2 linked regions of the Danio rerio genome follow. The protein of the gene in region 1 binds, or shares a complex with, the protein of each later gene. Links are inferred from orthologs where the notes say so. Each region holds a gene or a part of one and is shown on either strand. Other genes may lie near its edges. The genes, in order: musk and dok7b.

Region 1 (4,608 bases):
CTCCATAGATGGTGCCCCCGTTCGGAGTTGAGGCCTTACGCAACCTGCGTACAGAGTGAGTCACGACTCACGGAGGCATGAACAAAATCTTGCTGAATGAAACTGAAGTTGCTGAAAAAATAAAAATGAAATACTACAAAAATTACAGGGGAGTAGCAACTACAGGGGAGAAGCCAGTCTGTAGAGTTTCTAGCTAAACATTTTGCAGTGTTTGCATGTCCAACAGTACAGAATTCATTAAAACAGAAATAAAATACCAACCATCACAATTTCATAAAAAATAAAAAAAAAAACACCTAAATTGTTTTGCATTTCATGATTTTTTTCAGTTGAATAAAAATCTATTTTCCATTCATATATTAGCAAATATTTTCCTAATATTTTAAATTATAAATAAAATGTCTATTTTCCATTCACATAGGCTCTTAGCAAAATATTTTGCAGTGTTTGTATGTCCTTTACTGCACAGAATCCATTAACATATAAGTTAAATAACAATAATTACAAGTTTAATTAAAAAAAATTAAATAGTTAAATAGTTTTGCAATTTGTAATTGTTGTTGTTGTTGTTGTTGTTGAATAAAAGACTGCTTTCCATTCATATATTTTTATCATTGAAGATGTGTTATAAAAATAGTTTGTAAAAATCTTGTCTCGTTCTAGTGAACCCAATCTCATGTCAAGTCTTGTCTCATGGATTAAGCGCCTCGTCACACCCCTATTAGAAAGTATATAAATTTGAAAATTGAATTGGGCACAACAAACAAGTTGCAGTTCTGAGACAAAACTCAGACAGCTGAAATGTACTTTAGGATTTCTGGCTTAGACTGTGACTTAAATTATAAACATCAATAGTTTATCATTCATAAACTAAAACTGAAGCTTTTTATGTTTTTTTCCCCCTTTTGCTATACTGAACATACAGTAATATTGTGAGTTTGAAACCAAGTTACGTACCAAACTGTTACACTTCTGATAGATTCAGACTCAAGAAGAACATTTAAGTATATTAACCGCACTTATCATATTTTATCCACACGTTTCTAAGAACTATGATATCAACATGATAATTTCTTTGTTTAAAACCCTGTTGTAAATGACTTGATATACAACAGGTAAAGCAGATAACAGGTAAAAAGAAAGAGAAAAAAATGTCTTAAATATTCTCTGTTGTCAAAATGTTAAGAGCAAAATATTTTTTGTAATTCAAATTAACTTTGTTGTGAGCAAAAACTTAAACAAATGCCTGATTTATCAAATCTTACAAAAATATGAAGAAAAATGTATATGGCTTTTATTTATTTATTTATTTTTTAACTAAAGGGTGAAATAAACATCTCAATTCCAGAAAATTCTAATTTTCAGCCTTACAGGGTTAACACAGACTGTGGTTTTATTTCTATGTTTTTTCAAGCCAAATCATAAGCTCTGAATTCAGCAGCTGCACATAAAATCTACAAACTTCAAAAGTACAACATGTTCCCTTGTATAAAAAATGGTATTATTGGTATTTTCAAGGCACTTTCTGTATCTCATCCCCCTCATATTCCTGTAAGTGTATCCAGCAGCTGGTCCTGTCTATCTCAGCTGACCGCACGAACACTGCGAAGGCCTTTCTACACATGCACACACACATCCACACACACAGACATACACACTGTACCATCTGCTGGACTTCATTTCAGAGTTCTGATACGAGGCTGACCAATGGATTTTAAAGCTGATTTGAAGCAGAAGGCTTTAAGGTGAACATGAAGGTCCCGAAAAACACTCCTCTGGTAGTTTTTCTGGCATTTTTCAGCCTGACTGAAGGGCTCCAGAGAGGTGAGTCACAGCTTTTGAAACATGAACAGCTAACTTGTGTTGTGCAAGCAATAACCACATGGTGAACTCGGGCTGCTTGTTTATTGTTTAGAAATTATGACTTAGGATTTGCTGATTTGCACATTTCATAGTGTGGACGCATTGAATATGTGGGTTCATTATTTTTACTACTACAAGTACTATTATTACTATTATTATTATTATTATTACTATTTGTTTATTATTGCATTTTTATTGTGATTTATTTTATGAAAAAAATTGTTTTATGATTTAAAAATATAATGTAATAGTTTATTTCATTATTTTAATAAATTTATTGAATTTAATAAAAAAAATTCAAATGATTTGTAAAATTCTCAGCAATTTGTATTTGTTTTAATCAAATGAAAGCAAATTGGAAATATATATATATATATATATATATATATATATATATATATATATATATATATATATATATATATATATATTCAACTTTTTTTACATATGGTCAAAAACTTTTGCGTTGTTAAATTATTATCTAAAACAGTAGTTTGTATTTTGTTTTGTTTATGCATATTCATATATAATATAAGACATGAATATTAAATAAAATATTAACATAAAATATTTACATCATACACATATTCTTTCCAAGTTTACTTTAGCTGGCTGCCATAAAATTGTGTCTTAATGTGATTTAGTTTGTCTGGAATTTAAATAATATTGCTAATAAACTAAATACAAATTATATAAATAAAATTGTATGTGAGGAGTTCAGATGTAAAAACGTTGGAAATGTTTACCTTAAATGAGCATTTTTTTATCAGCCTCCTATGTTTATGTTCAGTTATTTCACTTGAAAGGCAATGAAAAGAACTTATTCATCACTATAAAAGTAAAATTACTGAGCCTACACACAAGAGTCAGAGCAAAATGCTAATTATAGAAATAATATCAAATGGCTTTTAGAAGTTTTTGCATCTAAACTCTTCATGTGTTTAACAACACACAATGACTAAACTGAAAAGCAAACTAAATATTTCAAGAAAATAAAAACACAACAAAAACGTATAAAAACAACATAGACTCATTCTGAAAATGAAGCCCAATACATTTCTGGAGATTGCGAATTAGTTTAATTTAGTCTTTAAAACGGATGCGCTGTTTCTTTCCGCGCTTAACCAGCTGACTGCTTACCTTTGTGTGAACAACTTTTCTGCTGTTACCAGTTTGTACAGTGGCTCACTGCATACGTTGGCAGAATTGTGACGCAGAGTTGACTGTGACAACGAAGTTTGACTCTGGTTTAGAATGGTTCCAGAAAGCAGGTAAGACAAAACCAAAAGCCAAAAAAAACAAGATAATTAAGATAATAAGGTTTAAATCTTGGCTGTGGTAAAAATCAGGCTGCCGCAAGGGCTTCTTTTTCTGGATTGCTTTTGAAAACACTATCGGTTGGGTTTAGGGAAGTTTGTGGGCGGGTCAGTCGGTGCTTTTAAAAACACTATTGGTTAGGTTTAGGGAAGGAGGGTAAGTCCATCTGTCAGTCAGCCAGTTGACAGTGGCCTCTGTTGGATTTACAAAAGAAAAGCAGGCACAAATGACACTCGTGAGAAAAATTTGAGATTTCAAAAAAAGTGCACACAGCAGCCTCTGGTGGATTCGCGAAAACTAACATATGAAAATAACATATCTCCTAGGACGTATTTGGTGCTCTCCAGAAATGTATATAAGGGTATGAACCTGGATGAACCTTGGTTGTGTAAAACAAAAGTTATAGTGAAAATAAACAAATAAATAACTCAGCAAAACCTATTTCGATAAAAATATTTTGATGTCTGTTGTCTAACTAACGTATAAATTAAAAAAAAAAAAATAAAGTAAGAGTAAAGACATTTAAATTTCAAAACAATCAATGCCAATAAAGAAAACATGATTTCCATGTTGGATTCTAAGTGGACTGCAAAAAAATGCCAAAATACAGGAATTGCAGATATGGAAAATGAAAAATTATAATAATAAACTATAGAATACAAACTGTTGCATTCATTGTAAAGTTTTATTGCTGTGAGTTGAGAACATTAATTATAGAGTCATTTTGCTTAATCCTCCTTTACATTCATCCAGTTGCTAAGACTAGGAGTATCCCGCAAGTGCACAGAGACTCCCAAATGCCTATAAATTAATGATAATTTCTTGCAAACCGGTCGTTAAATACATTGCACACCCCTCTTGCCCCTACTCAGATATGTCGCTCACTCCATCCCTGACACCCCTCAACGGGCCTGACACAGACACACACACAGACAGACACACACAACGCGCTGCAGACGTTTTGGCCCCAACGGCCTTCCATACTGGAGCGACTCCCCTCAGATTCAACACGCATGATCACGTTCATCAAATTTGCTAAGCGTCCTAAACTAAGCGTCCTAAAGTATTACTGTATTTCACAAGGATTCTGCCACAACAACGCGAAGCATACGCTTTCGTTGCGTTTAATGAGGAAACATGCTAAACTTGTGGGGCTCGTGCTGAAAGGCAGAGAAATGCCCTGTCTTTGACAGCTCGCGACTTCACCAGACGTTCTGAGTACATTTACATAAGACACCAATACTCCGATTTTAATATGATTAAGATAATACTCTTATTAAAATTCTACCATGTAGCCTTAAAAGGAACCTTACCTTAAAGGAACACCGAGTCACGAAATGCGGAGTATTTTCTTTCTGTTCGCCATGCGGTATCAACTTACAACAGATGTCGAAAGTTAAAAATGAAACACCCGAAATTGCATGAAAC
Region 2 (3,830 bases), on another chromosome or scaffold:
ACAGTGTTATTAAATGTAATAGAATAAATGTATCATTATCATTCATCAAAGTCATCAGTATGCTCTATAAACCATAGAATAGAGCTATCAGATTTATTCGAGACCATTTACTGTACATTAAGCTAAACCTTTTTCACAGTCAAAATTTTTGTGCACCCTTAATTGTTAGACAATGTCAGAACTGCATAAAATAAAGCCAGAATTGTGGAACTGCTAAAACACAATTGCAAGAAATAAAGTCATAAATCTGAGACCATATAATGTAAATACAGAATTTCAGATAAAAAATATATAAACTCAAAACTGCAACATTTAAAGTTTGTTATTGTAACAGAAATTCTCAGACAAGGAAAAGAGTCCGAGGGAGAATCATGTTTCTGTGCCTTAAAAGATATTTTAATAAAGATATTTTTCTGTGGACCAACAACGAACATAATCATTTTGAGCATTTTTGATAATGGAAATTGCTTGCAATCATGGCGAAAAATGTTTTCCAGTAATGCTTGGCCCTCAAATTCCACCATTGTCAGTGATTGCCTTCTGCAAGTCTAAATGCATAAATCAAAATCAGTTTACTTTAGTATTTATGACAACACAGTCACTGAATTCTCTGATTCATGCGATGTTACGTTACATTAAGTTCTCGTCTGTCTTACTTCATGCTAAGCTGTCAGGACAGTTGTTTTAGCTGTCATTAAATGTCATTAATTACATGCACTTGATGTATTTTAACCTTTGACATTCAATAAAGGTTGAGCATGAGTTCATAATGCCAGTGATAAATAAGATGTGCAGGGCACTGATTGCAAAATCAGCTTCTGTCAATCAGTCAATTTGTTTTTATATAGTCTGCAGAATAAAAAAAAGCAGAAAAAAGTAGGAGAATGAAATCCTTTAAATAATGTGATTAATATTTGTATACAGCACTGTTTTTTATCTGTGCAAGCAAAAAAAAAAAAGTACATTCACTGGCCACTTTATTAGGTACACCTGTCCAACTGCTCGTTAACGCAAATTTCTAATCAGCCAATCACATGGCAGCAATTCAATGCATTTAGGCATGGAGACATGGTCATGGACACAGTCTGCTGCAGTTCAAACCGAGCATCAGAATGGGGAGGAAAGGGGATTGATGTGGCTTTGAACATGGCATGGTTGTTTTTTTTCACGCACAACAATTTCTAGAGTTTACAGAGAATGGTCTGAAAAAGAGAAAATATCTAGTGAGCGGCAGCTCTGTGGGCGCAATTGCCTTGTTGATGTCAGATGAGAATGGCCAGACTGGTTCCAGCTGAAAGAAAGGCAACAGTAACTCAAGTAACCACTCGTTACCACTGAGCTACGTAGAAGAGCATCTCTGCACACACAACACATCCAACCTTGAGGTGGATGGGCTACAGTAGCAGAAGACCACACCTGGTGCCACTCCTGTCAGCTAAAAACAAGAAGCTAGGCTACAATTCGCACAGGCTCACCAAAATTGGACAATAGAAGATTGGAAAAACTGGTCTGATGAGACTCGATTTCTGCTGAGACATTCGGATGGTAGGGTCAGAATTTAGCATCAACAACATGAAATCATGGATCCATTCTGTCTTGTATCAACGGTTCAGGCTGGTGGTGGGGGTGTGATGATGTGGGGGATATTTTTTGGCACACTTTGGGCCCATTAGTACCAACTGAGCATCGTGTAATCTTTCCAGTATCTTGTTGAATCTATGCCATGAAGGATTAAGGGCAGTTCTGAAGGCAAAAATGGTTCAACCCGGTACCAGTAAGGTGTACCTAATAAAGTGGCTGGTGAGTGTATGTTACTGAACATTTAATGATTTACACATACATATAATATGAAGTATTTTAACACAAAAGCTACACACTTTATTTATTTAAAGGGTTGCAGCACAAAAACAACATGCAGTTTGTTTTTGCTTGTGTGGTATTGATTTTTCAGTCTATTTGTTGCCACTGGCATTGCTTGAAAGCTTTTTGCGCTACTTTAGACCAGCTTGAAATTGACTTTCCATGCTAATTAGATGCCAAAAATATCTACAGTACAGCTAAACCGTGCAAAGTAGGAATGCCTCCATAACAACTTTTCTATCATACATTCTGTTCCAGTTTTCCAGAGGCTTTTATTTACTTGTTCTCCCCTGACTGACTTATTGTTTAATTTGAGCGTTTTGTGTTTGGTGTCCTGATTTATTCTATTGTGTGAGAGAATGATTACCAAACCTACTGGCAAATTCAAAAGGAGGTCTCAAAGCGTCTAGTGTGTGAGTCTGGATCCACATTATGCGAGAGATTATTGCTGTGAGGCTGTGTCTGTGATGTTCCAGTGGAAATTGATAAATGTGCCTAGTGGCTCCGGTAATTCTACCAGCAGAGACAGTGATACAGCAGTGATGGATCGTACATGACTTAATGCTCAGAGACAAATCAGTGCTGTCTGGTGCTTTCTGTGTGACCGTAAGGATTTATGTTGGCACACGTGTGTACAGTATGAATGATGAACACTCACTGTATTGGTTTAATTCAAATGTAATGAAATTCTGTTTCCATAGACCCCAATGCTAACCCGTCGTCTATAGAAGACCGGATTAGCCAGGAGGCTAGTGAGCTGGAGAAAAGACTCAGCATGCTGTCCATTTGTAGTCACCACAGCAGTGCAGGTAATTCAAAAATCATTAACTAAATATACACCTAAAGCAATGTACTCATTTCAAACAGTGAAAATGCAGTTGTAAATGCAAATTCTGTTATAATTTTCTCTTCTTAATGTCATTTCTTTCATCCAAATGTTTTGAATAATCATTACGTTGTTCATTTGCATTTAAAAACTGTTCTTAGTCTTTGTCAAGATCCCAAAGGACTATACAAAGCACAATAAAAGGATTATAAAAGCCATCATATAAAGTCATTCAATCCTAGATGGAAATTGATGTCATTTTTTGTTATCCGCTTGTTAAGTGTGACGTCACGCAGAGCGGCTTCCGGGTTCAAACGCTCTATTCAACTTTATGGGGAGATTTATGAAATGGTAATAATAAACGTTTACAAAGCGATTTAATACTTTCTAAAGTCACGATCGCAAAATATATGTCCATGCCTAATATCCGATGGCCAGAAAGTAATTCATTGTTTTATAAATTGTTAAAAATTTGGTATTTGTCATGCAGCAAGCCCAGAGAGTGTTGTGTACACTATGACTTTATATAAAATTAACTTTAATGTGCAATATGAATAAAAAAGTGATTTCTCCACTCAAGTGAATGGCGGCTTGGACCCGGAAACAGTATTACATGTGTCAAAAACACGTCACCACTTAACAAGCGGATTGAAATTTAATGTTATTTATGTCAGTTTAAGGGATAATAATTTACAGTCAAATCCCAGAAATTTATTCCGAAGGAATTGATTTTTTTTTGTCAGCAGTAATAAATAAAACTGAATTTATATTGGGGATATGTACAAGCAAGTTAAAAATCGACAGAAAGAGAGCACAGTAAAAAGAAAAGCATGAAAGCCTGGACACAATCATCAGACTTTCAAAAGTTTTTGTTCATAGGGCAGTAAAATACTCTGCAAAGACAATGCGCCCTATCATCATAGACCGGACGCAATAAGATGCAACACGTGTTTGACGCGATTTGTTGCCAAGCGCAACCCTAATTTTCACGTTGTGAAATAGCCACGTTGTTTAAATAGCAAAACCATTTGCGTCACTCATGGGCGTGTTGTTCTTTAAAGGAAGTGTGTTAAGGCTCATTGTTGGCGCGTTGCTATTTTGAAGAACTGAAATAGACCGTGTTATTGACCAACTGAAAGCAGGT

The links.
Region 2: the proteins of musk (region 1) and dok7b are in contact, whole or in part, in a crystal structure (PDB 3ML4), measured with the Mus musculus proteins. The link is inferred for Danio rerio from reciprocal best matches to the Homo sapiens genes MUSK and DOK7. Residues at the interface, in NP_035074.2 of Mus musculus: Leu547, His548, Pro549, Asn550, Pro551, Met552, Tyr553, Gln554, Arg555; in NP_001335203.1 of Mus musculus: Leu154, Ser155, Asp156, Leu157, Arg158, Arg159, Tyr160, Gly161, Gly172, Thr173, Arg174, Ser193, Asp197, Val200, Arg201.

What each region holds. Positions count from the first base shown.
Region 1 is NC_133185.1:15,375,323-15,379,930, reverse strand, and holds the start of musk (muscle, skeletal receptor tyrosine-protein kinase isoform 1 precursor), read left to right. Parts: upstream 1-1,618; 5' UTR 1,619-1,751; coding exon 1,752-1,824; intron 1,825-4,608.
Region 2 is NC_133176.1:44,247,405-44,251,234, reverse strand, and holds part of dok7b (protein Dok-7), read left to right. Parts: intron 1-2,561; coding exon 2,562-2,669; intron 2,670-3,830. UniProt on the Homo sapiens protein: Probable muscle-intrinsic activator of MUSK that plays an essential role in neuromuscular synaptogenesis. Acts in aneural activation of MUSK and subsequent acetylcholine receptor (AchR) clustering in myotubes. Induces autophosphorylation of MUSK.